Lonchura striata: one gene and its partner. The protein of the gene in region 2 purifies or fractionates together with the protein of the main gene of each other region. This does not show direct contact. Links are inferred from orthologs where the notes say so. Each region holds a gene or a part of one and is shown on either strand. Other genes may lie near its edges.

Region 1 (7,862 bases), on a different chromosome or scaffold from region 2:
CTTCATGCACTGCCCACCCTGCAACAGGAGCTTCCCAAGCTGCAGCCACAGGGGCTGTGCTCTTCCCAACACTGTCAGCCATGGAGCCAGGTCACCCATCCCTCTCTGGGAGAAACACACATCTCCTTTCTGCACAGCCCACAGGAGCAGAGAAAGGAGCACAGATCCTCTGTCGCTGGTGTCCATGGAGACCTCTCCAAGACATGGCCATCCACACAGACATGCCCCAAGCCCAAAACCTCCATATGCAATATACCGTGGATGTTCACCTGTTCTGAAATGGATAAAACCCCAGAATCATTCCTACTTAGACATTTAACATGTATCCAGAGCAGTCTAAAACTCCCTAGTGTTCTCCAGCGCTCAAAAACCACAAGAACATCCATTGCTGACCCATGGACACAGCAATCTTTGATCTGTAAGTCCCCAGACACCATTTGGAGGAGATGCTGTTCCATGGGAAGGAACACCTCATCCCCTGACAGCTGGCTACTCTCCTCATAGTGCAAGCTGAGGCCAAACCAGAACCACCACAAAAAGTAAAACCCAGTGTCCCTACCAGCCCCAGTCTACTGCTCCCTGTGCTGGCATGGCTTCTTTTCATGGGGAGAACTGGATCAGTCATTGCCCATACCCTGCACTGAAAGCGATGAGCTCAACTCCAGATTATTCCCCCTCTGGTTCTCTGGTTCCCACCATGGCCATGGCAATGTTGACCTCAAGGGGATGAGCCAGGAGGGGAATACCTTGAAGTGGAGCTGTCACACACCCAGCATTTCCCAGGCATCCTCTTTCTGCCCAGAAAGCACATCCAGATAAAAACAGGGAAGCTGGCCAAGAACCTGGTACTGCTGGCCATCGATCCCATGGCTTTGCCTTGCCTGCCTAGAAACCCAGGCACTACTTGTGTACACAGGTTGGTATTTCCAGCTGGAGCCCCACAGTTCTGTCCAGGAAGTGTTAAAGCAAAGCTCTGCTCCTCAGCCCTGCAAGCTCAGGGTGCTGGGTGACACCAGAGGAGGGGACTGAGGGCAGGGTGAGCTGCTCTGGTGAGAGAGGATGCCATGGGGAAAGCATCTGGCATCAGAGAGATGAGGCTGAAGATACAGCAGCTCTTCAGCCTGATGTCCTCTGTGTCCAGCAAGGCCCACCTGGCCACTTGGGAGGGTCACACATAGTGTGAGATCACCACGAGCACAGGGAGGCACACATGGGGAGCCCAGAGACCAAAACCACCAGCCAGACACCTTGCCTGTGGCACAGTAGAGAGGCCCCAAGGAATTTTTCTTTGTGACATTAAAAGAAACAGTCATCTCGGTCCCTGGGACACTCTCTTTGCTTTCACTGCTCTTGGATGTCTGCACAGCACAAGGATTCCTTGCAGCTGTGGCTTTATCATTGTCAGGCCCACAACTCTGGTACAGAAACTGAAGTTCTCCAGATTTCCCCAAAAGGTTACAGGGACACACCCAGGTCTGTCCCCAGGAACAACCACCCATGCAGACACCTCTGTCCCCCATGGGCACACGTGGTCTGTGGGCTCTGCCCAAGACCAGAATCTCCCCAGCAAGACCAATGTTTGTTCTGCCTGAGTTTGAGAACAGCTCAAGCCCAGGGTCAATGAAATGCTGCTCTCACACTGCCTCACTGCTCCCACAGGCCCTTCTGGGAAAGAGATGGGGGAGCTGCACGTCCTCATGATGCTAAAGACTCCCTCCAAATCTGCCTGTAGACCCCACAGGGCGCAAGGTAGAGGACTCAAAGGGTCCCAGGGCAAACCAAAGCCCCAGATTAGCATTTTGTGGACCTGCTACAGAGGTGTGGCCACCATCTCCATGCCCCTTCCTCATCAAAGCCCCTTGTACTAATAGCATCCCAGCTTTCCATCCTGGACCAGCAGCACTTGCCAGGAGAGATGACAACCCCTCCCTGGCCTTGCTGGGCCTCTGCCACATCCCTCAGCATGGGGAAGGCCAGTGCCACAGCCAGTACCAGCTCTCCCACCACTTGGCCTTCGTGCACGTCCCCTCTTCCTCACGTCCCACACAGAGCAGAGCCCCTGTCCTCGTGCTGGTGCACACAGGGGCAGGAAGGATAATTTAAGAAAACCTGGGAAACCAACACCAAGTTTAAGAGTGCAGAGCATGCCAGATCTCACCCCCTTCCCACCTTACGGCCCTGCATAAGAAACCTGGTTTTACACTCAGGTTTCATCCTTTCCTCTGTCCTCCTCGCCCCCATCCAGCACAGGAAGCCGGGGCTCAGCACACCCTGTGCCAGCACCCTCGGGCTGATGCGCAGAGGGCAACGGGGAAGAGGACGGAACTACAGCACAATATTTTGGGTTGGTTTTCCTACTGTTTAACCTTTTCCGTTCGATCTCATCTGTTGCTCCGAGGTGCAACCGCAAAAGGGCTCACACTAGTCCTGCCTCCTTCTGAGGTTCCCTACCGCCCTTAGGTGCTGCTCGCCAAGGCACCACCCGGGAAAACACCGCGTTTATCCCAGGGGAAGTTTGGTGCCGAACAGGGATGCGGAAAGTTGGGAGGCGGCGCTGGGCGGGGGCAGCGGCGGTACCGGCCCGCGCATCCCCCGCGCATCCCCCGCGCATCCCCCGCGCATCCCCCGCGCACAGGGCGGTCGGGGTCGGCCCCACGCTGGGACCCGGACTCCTCTCCGCCCCCCAGGCTGCCCGCGGGGAGATGCCGGGCGCGGAGAGCCTGGAGGTTCATTATTTTTATTTTATTTTATTTTTCCCGTGCCCCTCTCCTCGCCACCGAGCCCCGGCTCCCGGCGGGGCTCCAGCCCCTCGGCCGCCCCTTCCCGCCGGGCTCCGCCGCGCACTCACCGGCCCCCTCCACCTTCTCGGAGCCGCGGCTCCAGGTGACCTGCCGCGTCTCCAGCTTCACCTGGAAAGTTTTCCGCTCGGGTCGCTGCGACTTTTTGGAGTAGAAGAGGGTCATGACGGTGCCCATCTCCAAGCTGCGGCACAGCTGCGCCGCCTCCGCCTCGCTGGGCGCCCCGGGGCCGGCGCCCGGCCCGGCCGCCATCGGCGCGGCGAACAAAGGGGAGCGGGAGCGCCCGAGCCCCGCCGCGCCCCGCGCCGCCGCCGCGGGAGGGAGCGGAGGAGGAGGAGGAGGAGGAGAGAGAGAAGGAGGAGCGAGGAAGGAGGAGGAGGAGGGAGGGGAAGGGGCGGAGCGCTGCCGGCGCGGAGGGCGGGCGCGCAGCGTGCGGGGAGCGCGCAGCCGGTGCTGCGGGGCTCGGAGCATCCCCGCACAGCGCGGCTCCTTCGTGCTGCGGGATGGAGTGCCACAGACCGCCCAGCACGCTGGGAACCGTGCGACCCTCCGCACCATGGGGGACCGGGGGACTCTGCACCCCATGGCACCGGCTCCCCTGCGGGACGGGGGGACTCTGCAGCCCATGAGATGTCTGGGGATCGGAGAATCTGCACCCCATGGCACCCCTGGGGATCGGGGACTGTGCACCCCATGGCACCCCTGGGGATCGGGGACTGTGCACCCCATGGCACACCTAGGGGACCACCCTGCACCCCGCAGGTCCCCCGTGGGCCACACAGCCCACAGGATACCTTAGGGCCGTGGCACCCACAGCAGGGTTTGTGTGGGATCCTGGCATGCCACGTGTGGAGTTCCAGCAGTGCATCCCACGATGGCTTTTCCGGGGGACAGAGCCCTCTGTATGGCTGGCACTGTGGTGTGGCTTCTTGATGAAGCCAGGTCTGCGTTTGCTGGAGTTTCCTCCACACGGATCCCAGCTGGATCCGTGCTGGCATGGAAAACAGGACCGGGCTTGCAGGGTGGCCTGTGGCATCCCACCCCTGGGGGACCTGTAGGGAGCCGGGGGTCACTGGACACTCTCCAGCTGTTCTCTGGCCCCACAAAAAACAGGGGTTAGAGACCACACAAAAGCAGGGTTAGCAAGGGGATAAGTGGTTGAATTGGGAAGCGTTTCAGTGCAGTTTGCTCCATTCATGTGGTTAAAGCCTGTGATTTCCCTTTCTGTGTGCCTCTGACCTTCTTCCCCATGCCCTCCTTTACATTAGGACATCCCATGGCACACGGTGCTCAGGCTTTCCCATTTATATGTATAAATGTATAAATATGGGTTAATGCTTGGACCTGATGATCTTAGAGGACTTTTCCAACTTTATCAATCCCATTATTTTTTTTCTTTTTTCCAAACCTCATGATGCTGTGAATACACACACGTACACACACGTGCCCACAGGCCCATGGCAAGGCAGCCTGTGCTCAGCAGCCCTTATCTCAGCCCCCCAGCTCACAGCTGGGACTGGGAGGGTGTCATCTTCTTAGTGAGGGGCCCATCCCTGAGTGGATTCCACATGTGAGCAGCTCTCTGTGTCCTACTGCTCCACCTGCCTCCACAGGGACATTCCCCAGCACACATGCATCCACACACAGTAGGAGCCCTATAAGGTCGTTTAGGATCCTACCTGGCGTCTGGGCATCAAACAGGCAAGGTGAGAGTCTAAACCTGTCCTGATAGAAGTGAGCAGTGTATGACAGCACTGTAAGGATGCTGGGGATGTGCTGAGCTGAGCCAGAGCTGCTGGAGCCTGGGCTCGGTGCTGGCACAGCACTCCGGGCCTCATTCTCTCCGGGGTGAGCCGCCGTGGGAAGTGGCTCCTGGCTTGTGTAATGGCCTCGCTTGGGACCGGCAGGAAACAGCCGGCTCCCAGTGGTCTTAAAATAGCTGAGCATTGTGGGCACACCCTTGTTTTTGAGGGCAAAACCTGGGAATGGAGTGTGGCCATCGAAGAAGCAGAACAGGTAACTCCCTTGTTCCCAAACACTGCCAGCTCCTGCTGATGGAGAGCACCTGGCAAGGTGTGTCCTCAGCTCGGAGCTCGGGGTGGCTGAGGCCAACACGTGGAGGATGTGGTTTACAATGAGCTGTTTGCAGTGGATATTTTTTATTTTCTAAGTTTGACTGATCATCTTTTAGCCTTGCATTAGCTCTCTGTGTCTAAGATGCTGCATGCCAAGGAATTCCTCTGTTTAATTTGACAGCAGAGGAAATTTGATAGCCCTTGTGTGCCTGCTGTCTGTCAGCCCCATTTGGTGGCCCCAGCTCCTGTACCAGCCAGGCTGTGAACAATCATCCCCACCCCTCAGGGCAGTAAAAACTTCCATTATATTCCTGTTTTGCTTTTGAAGAAATTCTCTGGACTGTGCTCATCATATGGCTGTGGAAGCCTGCGGGTCTTGCAATCTCCCCTTGCCAACGCCTCAGGGAAAAGGGGGATTTTCCCCTCGGAGTGGCCCCAGCACCTCCCCCTTCAGAGTTCCGGAGCACGGGATGCCATCCCCCATATCCTGCAGGATTCGTGGAGCAGCTGCATCCTCCCACCGGGAACAGGCCAATGCCAGGTGACCTCCGGCTTAAGGACAGCCCCAGGCATGCTCAAAGCCCGGGGAACAGAATCCAGGGACACAGCACTGCGAGCCCACCCCACAGGCAGGTGCGGGGGTCCCTGCAGCGCAGCATCCCTCTGCCCAGTGGGTGCCTGATACTCAAGGAAGTGGTGCAGACCCTGGGCGAGATGCCTCTCTCCGGGTTATTTCTTCATTCCTGCCTGCTCTGCGCTGCCCGGGCTGGGTGAAGACAACACCAGCCGAGAGAATCCCCACGGGGGAATTGCTGCCGTGGTGCTGCAGGGAGCAGGGCGCGGAGGGCCCCGGGGGAAGGCGGTGCGGAGCTGCCCGGGCTGGTGCTGTGCCGGGATGCGGGGCAGAGCCGCCCGGGGCTGCGGGGGCTCGCTCTCCGGGAGCCGGGCACAGCCGTGCCCGCAGGCTGCCTCCCCACAGCCCCTGCCCGGCGCTGCAAATTCCCTCTGGGTGACAGCCGGCACCCGGCGAGAAACCCACTGCAGCTCCCGCTCCCTGTCCCCGCACTTCTTTAATATCGAATTCACCCGGTTTCAATTTTCAACCCCGGAATCCTTAAGACTTCAAGGGGGATGGGGCTGCATCCTGCAGGGTTTTGCACCTCCCCTTGGCCACCAGGCCCTGTGCTGCACAAGATCCAGTTCAAAGCTACATTTGTGTCCTCTCCCCCGGTCATGTCACTGCTGCCTCAGTTTCCCTGGCTGCCAAACACAGGCCCGGTTGTGGGGGTGGTGGCACTAGGGCAGGCGAGCACAGGCGCTGCAGCAGAGGGATGCAAGACAGGATGTGGCAGGTTTGTGGCCATTTCTCCGTTTGCACAGTGAGTCAGTGGGGTCTGGGAATTCTCCGTGGGGTGTGTGGTCCTCAGCATGCTGTGCCACAGGCAAAGCCACCGATTAAACCCTCCTCAGCCCCCTGCCCAGGACAGAGCCTGTGCTCCCCAGTGCTGGGAGGGAGCAGGGGGAATTTTCAAGGGTGGGTTTTGCACCAACATCCTTCTCCTTCTTGCTGACCGAGAGGCACAACACGCTCCAGCCTTGGCCATCAGACACAGATCTCCCAGCCTGGCCAGAGAACCCCACCATGCCCAGGTGGATCTGCCAGCAGCAATTCTGGGGTGGGGGACCCCCTCTATGGGAGAACATCCCTTCCCACTGCATTCCCCAATTCCCTGTTCAAGAATACTAGAATTTGTAAGATAGGGGATAACTGGGCCAGGTCAGCAGGCGGGAAGCAGGGCCGTATAAATAGAAATGATATTTTTACAGGCTGCATTGTTCAGCCACGGGCAGGCTGGGAGCACAATGAGCCCCTTTCCCTCTCCACTGGCATTTTCACCGCTGCACCTTGGAAAGGCCCCAGAGAGCAAACTCCTGCCAGACTCCGAGCTTGTGCAGCCACAACAAAGTGCCTGCGGATCGCAGCGAGCAGCAGGAAGCAGCTCAGGGCTGGCTGCCCAGAGCCTGGCCCCACAGCCACCCTCGGGGGTCTGGGAGCCCACCCCAGCTCTGGGATCACGGGGAGGTGCTTGCAGAGGAGCCAGGGCTCTGCCTGCTCCACAATCCCCAAGGACACCAGGCCAGGGCTGCTCCCAGCACCAGGGGGGAGAATGCATCCATCAGCCTCATCACCCGAGTCCTTGCCCAGCCTCCCGCCCTTCCCAGGCACGGAGGGGAAGGAGGTGCCCTCCCTCCATCCTGCTCTGTGCAGAGGGCTGGGGCTGAATAAAAGGCAGCAGAGAAACCAGGCGGAGCAGCTCTGGGCTCACTGCATCCCCCTGCTCCTGCTCTCTGCTGTCCTGGGCAGGGCTTCCCCCAGGGCAAAGCAAACTGCGAGCTGTGCCTGCGTGGAAAGCCAGGGTGGGCACCACGGAGGGGGCAGCACAATCACAGCAAGGCAGGGATGGGCACATCCTTCAGGGAATTCCTGCTGGGGCTGGGAACAGGAACTGCATCCCACCATCATCACCAGCCCAGCGACCACGGGGGCCTCACATCCAGGGCTGGAGGTGAAAGAACACAGAGACACCGACACTCAGTTAAGTTGTAGGAATTTATTTTAAATAACCTACACTTGATTAAAAGGGAATTCATGATAAAAATAGAAGATACTTGTTGAGGAAAGGCTGCAGGAAATGGTCTTGCACACACACTACGCTAACGATGCCTCTAAGACTAATGATTATAGCAAAAAAAGGTTTCACATTAAAATTCTGCTTTTTAATTTTTAAAATTTTTTTACACAATTACAAAAGAAAAAAATAAAAGCCCTAAAATCTTGATTATTTTCCTTTTTGGACCAATGCTCATTTCCCTCGAAATTTATTGACCTGTGAAACTTCTTTTTACACAATAAAATCTTTCAAGTAAAAGAGGGGAGTGGGGCTTAGAAAAAAAGGGGGAGGGAAAAGGTAAAACAGTCTGACAAACC
Region 2 (7,763 bases):
CTTTCTTGTACCCAATTTGAAAAGGCCAAGCTGACGCAGAAATGGTAGATGGGCTGAGGTTTGATCCTATTCCAACTGAATGAAACTTCCATGCAGTTTCTCTAAATGGAAGCTTCTTGCAGGATGCTCTGTTCCCACAAGGAAGAGTGTGAGAGAAATCTGGCATCAAGAATATTTGCAGAAAAGCCCTGTAGAAATTCAACTTTATGGCTTGTCTGCAGAACAACAGCTGCCCATAAGTACATCCTTTACTAATTGCTCAGTAACAGACTGAGACAAAGTGCTTTATGCTTTGTACAAGCATGCTGTTAAAAAAGGAAAGGATTCACTTCAGTTAAATTTATTTTTGAGCCAGCAAATGAAAGTGTTAGTTAAAGAGAATAAAGCATTATTTACAGGACTCTGTTATCACCTCTAAGGTCAGTGGGACTTCATCCCCTTGCCATTTTTCCTCACCCTAAAATATAATTCATTCTCCATTCACATGGAGGATAATGTGATGAAAATAATTTAGCAAGGTAATTATACATTTTTCTGGGAAATACTGCAACCCTGGACATCTCCAGCAGACAAAAAGAAAAACAAAAGCCCAGTATGCCAACATAAGTGAAGCAGCTTTCCATTGTTGATGGGAGGATTGTGTTGTTTGAAATCCATTTCCAATTAGCTTAAGCAATGAAGGAAAGGCTCAGTTGCCTTAGGAAGGGCTTTAGTTAAGCCCCGTGCACATTAGCTGCAATGGTGTCAATAACTGCTGGAATCTCACAGGCTGGTGGATGCTGTTCGTGCTGTTATCACTGTATCAGCACATCCTGCTGTCGGCAGGGCTACACAGCACAAATTTAAGGCTGGCAGTGACACATGGTTTTCACATAGACAGCACCTTAGCAAAGCAGGGAATGGATTTCCTAATGTTGTTAAACAAACCCATGTTACAAAAGCAAGGCAAAGCCACAGTGTAACTATGCTAAAGAGTCACTGCTGAAAAAGCAGAGGTGCAATTCGGAAAGAGATCAGGATTTTTACAGGAGATTGTGAACAGCTGCAAGGAGGTTACCACTTCAATATGGGTAAAGGAGGTCTATATTCCTTCCCTCTGCTCCTCCTTTTCCTACCTCCTCTGTGACTGACTTTGCATGAGTGTGTTGCAGTAAGAACAGCAGAGCTTTCTCTCCAACATGATTTTCCAGGGGCATAGCTTCCTACTGATCTGGAAAAACATGAATTTCTCCTCAACAGTAAGACAACAGACAAAATAAAGCGTGTGAGTTTTAATAGCTTTGTATTCACATCAGAGAACCTGTTAGTTCTTATGTATGCCCTTCCCTCAGGTTAAAAACACACCTTCATCCTCTAAGACAAATGCATGTCCTCAAGCTCCATCACTGCTGTAAGTACCTGATTAAAAATGGCATTCAAAACTAAGGCTTCACTGCCCAAGGAGATCTGTAAATCAAAACAAGTGCTAATCACAACAAATCCTCCAAATAGAAAGAAAAGGAGACAGTAGGGTTTGGCGTCTTTAATTTTTAATTATTCTTTATTTACGGCAATGTAGCAAGGCAAGACCTGCTAGAAGGTGGGGGGTGTTGGCCTCGCCTAGCCACCTTGTGGTGGACAGCACCTCTGTGTTATCCCTGCCAGATCCAGCACAGGAAGAGCTAAACCTGGGTACCTCACTTTAGCCACAGCTGCAGGACTTACAGCCTATCCTGACAGTCAGCTTTGGTTTTCCTTTCAGGCAGCAAGCAAGGAGATGAGTTCCATTTGTAGCTCTTCAGATGGCTATCCCATCTTTTCAGATGAGCATCCAAAATCAGTTGCTCCAACTTTATATTCAAAGCCCAGCAGTGACTTCTCCCTCCTCTTGTGAACTTACTGAAGTGTATTCTGTGGTCCATTAAGTAGGTGCCTACTCAGGGACACATCATTGACTTCTACAAAGCTTCATAAAAAGTACCTGACTTAACTCACTGTGACAAATTATTTGGACCTGCAGTCCTCTAGGTATTATATTCTTCTAGTAGGAAAGGCTGAATCACAGCTTCTGTTAAAGATACAAAGCACACACAGAATGGAAATTTCTCTTGATCACTAGCCCACAACAGAGTCCTGATTTGAGATAAAGGAGCTGCCCCAAACCGTGACTGCCAATCACCGCCCACCAGAACCAAAATTCTGAGCTGGGTTCTCTCTTCGCACAAATACCAGTGCTGCACGAGCCTTCTCAGATGTACAACTTCTTGTACTGTAGCTGACAGAATGCAATTCACTAAGGATCCTTTGGGGTTTTAAAATGTCAATCAGCCCCTATATTTTATGTTTAAAGATCAGGAATAATAGTAATATCAATATCTAGTAATAGAGATAGTAGCATTAATGTACAAAATCAGGAGCCAGACCCAACTTTAGAGATGTTTGTGCTGTTCCCTGGTCTGCTGTCACATAACCTTGAAAACACTCGCAGCACTTTGAGGAAACATCCCTTTTTAGGATGATATTTTTTAAGTTTCAAAGAACCTGATCTTCTTGTCCTTCGACTAATGACACTTTAACCTTCTAGGACTTGCTCGTGGCTTTCTAGCACATAGAAACTCTTGGCGTTTCGCAAAAATCCCTCGTCACCTTCAAAATAGTCCTCCTGGCCCCACCAAAGCGCTTCGATACATTTCGCACGGGTAAAGCGCAGCCCTTAGGGACAAGCCGTGAGGGGAAGGCGCGAGTGCTCGGGGGAGCTGCGCTTCCCGCATCGCCGGGGCCGGCAGTGACCGGGACGGTGCGGGGCGCTGGACGCGTGTCCGGGCGGGGAGGGCGCACGGCAGCGCGGGGCACGGCGGGGCTGCGGGAGCGGGCGCGGGGCGCTGCCCGGCGCGGTGCGCGGCATGCAACGCACGGCTCACCTGCCGCGGAGACGTAGAAGAGGAGGCGGGGGCGGGCGGCGCGGATGGCCGCCGACAGCCCTCGCTCGCTGCCCGGGAGGGCGCCGCGGCGCTCGGGCATCAGCCGCACCCGCAGCCGCCCGTCGCCGGCGCGGAGCCACCAGGCGAAGAGCTCGGTGAGGTTGAACTCCAGGTGCGCCCCGCCGGGGCCCGGCTCGCCGGCGCAGCCGTCCCGCACGGTGCCCTCGCCCAGCTCCAGCACCAGCTGCTTGGCGCGCCGCAGCCGCCGCCCGGCCGCGGAGGGCCCGGCGGGGACGGCGGGCGGCTCGGCCCGCGGCAGCGCCCCGCGGGCGGCGCGGAGCAGGGGCGCGCAGTCCAAGCGCAGGCGGCACCGCGCCGCGGCGCGCCCCGGCGGCCCCAGCACCAGCTCCCGCACGTAGGTGCGAAACAGCGAGGGCACGACGAAGTCCATCGCCAGGCTCCTCCTCTGCAGCCGCGAGAGGCCGGGGGTGTCCCGCGGTCCCGCCGCCGCCCCCGGGGCCAAGCTCAAGGCGAGGCAGGCGGCGGCCAGGAGGCGGGCGGACAGCCTGTCCCCAGCCATGACCCGCGGGGGGCCGGCAGCGCTCCGTCCCGCGCCCGCGGAGCGGCGCCGGGGAGCGCGGTGCCGGCGCGGCGCTCTGCGGAGGGAGCTCGGGGCCGCCGCCGGCCGCTCCGCCCGGGGCCGCCGCTGCGCGGGCTTTGCCGGCTCCAACTACCCGCCACAACGCAGGCATTACCCTGCGAGCGCTGACGTCACGCCCGAGCGCGCCCCCCGGCAGCCAATGGCGTCCCCGGTAGCCCTCATTATGCAAATGTACGGGGGCGGGGCGGGCGGGGCGTTCATTGAGGGAAATGGCCCGGCGGGCGCGGGGAGCGGGCCGGGTGTGCGTCCCCCGGGACGGGCCGGGCACGGACGCGCCCCGGGAACGGGGGCGGGCAGCGGCCAATTGCTGCCCGCAGCGGGGCACCTGGCAACAGCACGGCCCGGAGGGGCTGGGGGCGGGCACCGGGCGCCGAGCCCGGCTGCCACCCCCGTGTGGCGGGGGGCTCTGGGGTCCCGTTCCCCGCCTCTTCTCTCTGGGCAGGCAATGATGGACATACCTGTCCGCTTTTCTTCCTTGCTTTCCTTTTCTTCCCTTCATTTTTTTCCTCTTAATTTCTTTTCCTTTTCCTTCCCTCTGTGCTCCTTCCCCATCCTTCCTTTTCCTCTCTTCCTTTCCTTTCTTCCCTTCCTTTCCTTCCTGGCTTCCTTCCGTACCTCCTTAAAGGCTAACATCCATAAAAGAACCCTGCATGTCTTTCCCCTGTAGAGAAAGGGGGAAAAAAATTAGAAGCAAGTAGTGGGGGGGGGGGAGAAATCTTAGAGTATAAGTCATTCTAAAAAATGGATCAAAATTCTTCAATTTCTGCATGAAAACAACAGCCTTAAGAAAGGTCCATGCAACAATTTCCCCTTTTTTCACCCTTCATAAATACAATTTAATTACTGTAATTACATTAGTGCTGTGCCTTAGGATAGCTAATCATAACTCATTCATATTTCTGGAAGTTGCCTATATGAATTAATGACTTATTATTATCTCTTTAGTTTGATACTTAATGCATGTATATTTTTATAATCCAGGTACTTTAACTATATAATCATTAGAGTGCAATTATTCTGTCGTGCAGTTATTCTTGTGCTTATATCAAATTAATGTTAATATACAGATATTGTGGAGCAGAACCACAGTGTAATGCCTCCGTAATTGTAATGCCACAGAGTGTAATTGCAGGCGCAATGCTAGAAAAGGGAACCATGATCATTTCTTCACAGAAGCGTTGAGGAAGGAACTTCAGGGCAATTGCTGAAGGATTAGTTAAATAATAGAGTTAATACAAAAAAAGCCACCTCTGTGCTGTGTTTAGCGTCATAGAGGTGAGCTGATTCAAAGCCCATCTGAGAGGCTGGCATTTCTCTGGCTGCAAATGCTTTGGACAGATCCTTGCTTTACCCCAGCTCTTCTTATTTCAGAGTCCACTAAATCAACTTGCGCAACATGTGAAGCCTAATCCCTTACTTTTCACTTTTAATGAGCCACCAGTAGGGTGCCATCCCTGGCTCTGGGACAGAGCACAGATGCCCTGTCACAAGTCCCAGCACCTTAGTGCTGGATGTACCAGTGACCGTCCCAACACTGGCACCATGGCTGTGCCCAGCTGCAGGTGGCCACCAGGGAGGCCTCACTGCTTGCCTCTCCTCTCTGCAGCCCAGCACCTCCCTGCACCCACAGCTCTGCTTGGCCCTGGGCCAGCTGTGGGTCCTGAGCAGCAGGAAGGAGGCAGTGGCAGAGAAAGAAGAGGAAGAGAGGAACAGGAAGAAGGCAGTGATGAGGATGAGACCTCCATCATCCTCATCTGGCCCACAGCTCCTGCAGTGCCACTCCTGGGTTGGTTGTGTTGCTATACCCCATGATAGGGCAGGAGAGGTTCCCAACCATGCACACATCACTCTGGGATTGATCTCTGCCTTCCCTGGCAGGGAGCTGATGGGGACATTTCCATGTCCTACATCCCCTGGTCCCCTTTTAGTCCCCAGCCAGGAAGGGTAAAATCTGCTGTTCTGGCAGCTCAGAGGGAGCCATGGCTTGGGCAGCACCTCTGTCCCACCCCTAGCATGGGCCTTTGTCCTGCCCCTGTGTCCTTTCCCATGGGGCAGGGCTGTGCAGGCACATCTGCCCTTGGGATGGGGGAGCAGCAGGGCCTGGCACTGGTTCACCTCTCTTTCTGCAGCTCCTGGGCACTGAAGAAGCTGTAGGTGGGAACATAACAGGGGTAAGCTGGGAAATGCCTCAGGAGCAGCCTGAGAGCGGAACACAGCTCCCCACTGGGCAGAGGTGACCCTATGTTTGGGGGTGGTGTTGAGCACAGCTAAAAAGAGAGGATAGGCAGCTGGGGACTTATTGAGCTGTCTCCCTGCCCCTTCCCAGTGCACAGGACAAAGGGAGCCCAAGTGACCTAACTGCTGAGCATCTAATCCCTGGAGAAGGAGGTGAGCCGCTGCCATGCAGTGTCTCTGCTCTGGGCTATGTCCCTGAGCTCTCCTCCCCCAGCTGAGCAGCAGAGCCATCCCAGCTCACCTTCTTCCACTCCTTGTCTTTTACCCAGTGGAGGACATTTAGTGCCAGGAGTCTGTAGAGGCTGGCAGAGATGAAGATCACTGCCCTGTGACTGGGCTGGGGTCTGTGGTGCCTTTTAGCAAGCAGAAGGATTGGAGAGCCACCAGGAGCACCAGCATGTCCTTGCAAGTGGCACTGGGAGAAATGCTGTGGTGCAGGGCAGAGAGCCCAGGAGGGCAGAGGGTCCTTGCTCTGCCATGCTCAGGCTGCTGGGGCTGGGTGGCAGCTCCTCAGTGCCCCTTCTTTTGCAGGGCTGCTCTATGAGCAGAGCAGGTTGATCCCAAGCAAGAGCTTCCAATGTCCCTGTCTGGCAATGGAGGACAACTTTGCTGCTCACCAGGTAAGTTTCGGAAGGAAAGACAAGCTTGTGCTCTGGCTGAACTGTGCTCACTTGTCCTGTGAGTGTCACCTTGCAGGTGTGGGACCCCAAGGGAGGACGTCACCTGGATGAACAAAGAAGTCTGTTGTGTCATAGTTACTGGGTACAGTTTTGGGGGGACAGAGAGCTTCCACAGCTGCCCAGGGCTTGGAGGAGGGCAGGGCAAGGGTTGGAACAGGGTGTCCCAGTGACACATCAGCTTTCAGGAGTCTCCAAGCCAAAGCCACAGGTCCAGCTGCCAGCTCCCTTTCTGTTCTGTCGCATCGCTCAGCACAGCAATGTCCACTGATGGGCTTTTGGGATCTGTCATGGCTTGACGCTGGCACAATGCCAGTGTCCCCACGAAAATACACTTTCCCAAATAAGTGCTGTGAGATGCAATCAGGAACAGAGCAGAGCATGGCCAACTTAGAAACAAAGGAAAAAGAACTTCATTAAACTATGATAAAAGACACACACTAAATCCAGAATTAAAACCTTCCAAAACATTCCTCCTTCCCCCACCCCAACTCCAACAAACCACAGTGAGACATAACTTGGACCCTCAATCAAGTCATCACCATTCAGATAATCTATACTGAGTCCATCAGGGGAGAGAGGAGTCTCTCCTGTACCATAGGAAACACAGTTGCCACCTCTTGTGTTTCCATGTCACACGTGGCACCGCCCAGAGAAAATCTGCCAGTGTGACACTCTCCTTTCCATGCACAGTGCTCTCACCACTGTGCATGGACAGAGACTGCTTACAGGGCTCCTTTAAGGATGCTTTGCCAAGGACCAAAAGAAACAACAGTTCATTTTCTCATTTTCAGACCACAGTCCCCCCCATTTCCCTCCTCCCCTGGGGCCAAGGGTGCAAACAGAGATCTTCTTCTTCCTGAAGATAGAGGACATCATCACACCCTCCTCAACTTTTCTCTGTTCATTCTATTCTTGTGCTGGTAGTTGCTGAAGCAGGTCTCTTGGCTCACCATGCATCCCCCTAAATGCAGTCTCTCTTGGAAGAGAAATTGGTTCAGTCTATGGCTAACAAGAAATGTCCAGCCAAAAGCCACTTCATCATCTCCACCCCAACCTTTTTTTCGTAACATCTCAGGTCCCAGACTGTCTCTCTCCTCTTTCAAATCAAGGAGGAGTAATATTTCATAAAGCTTTCATTTCCCAGGAAAGGGTTAAAAGTCCCAGACTCCCCGGATGGCTGAAATCTTGGCCCAGGACTCCATCTCCCATGCTGGGCATCTTCTCCTTCTCCTCTGCCGGCAAACTTTCCAGGTGCCTTAAGGCTCTCTATCTCTTTCTCTCTAGGCG

What was found. Proteins that work in one complex are often made in the same cells at the same time.
Region 1: the proteins of ALK (region 2) and PLCG1 purify together in Homo sapiens (affinity purification with western blotting; 3 studies listed by BioGRID, with this or other methods). This does not show direct contact. The link is inferred for Lonchura striata from reciprocal best matches to the Homo sapiens genes ALK and PLCG1.

Annotation. Positions count from the first base shown.
Region 1 is NC_134619.1:9,747,160-9,755,021, forward strand, and holds the start of PLCG1 (1-phosphatidylinositol 4,5-bisphosphate phosphodiesterase gamma-1), read right to left. Parts: upstream 3,086-7,862; 5' UTR 3,051-3,085; coding exon 2,849-3,050; intron 1-2,848. UniProt on the Homo sapiens protein: Mediates the production of the second messenger molecules diacylglycerol (DAG) and inositol 1,4,5-trisphosphate (IP3). Plays an important role in the regulation of intracellular signaling cascades.
Region 2 is NC_134605.1:19,515,880-19,523,642, reverse strand, and holds the start of ALK (ALK tyrosine kinase receptor), read right to left. Parts: upstream 3,011-7,763; 5' UTR 3,001-3,010; coding exon 2,901-3,000; intron 1-2,900. UniProt on the Homo sapiens protein: Neuronal receptor tyrosine kinase that is essentially and transiently expressed in specific regions of the central and peripheral nervous systems and plays an important role in the genesis and differentiation of the nervous system.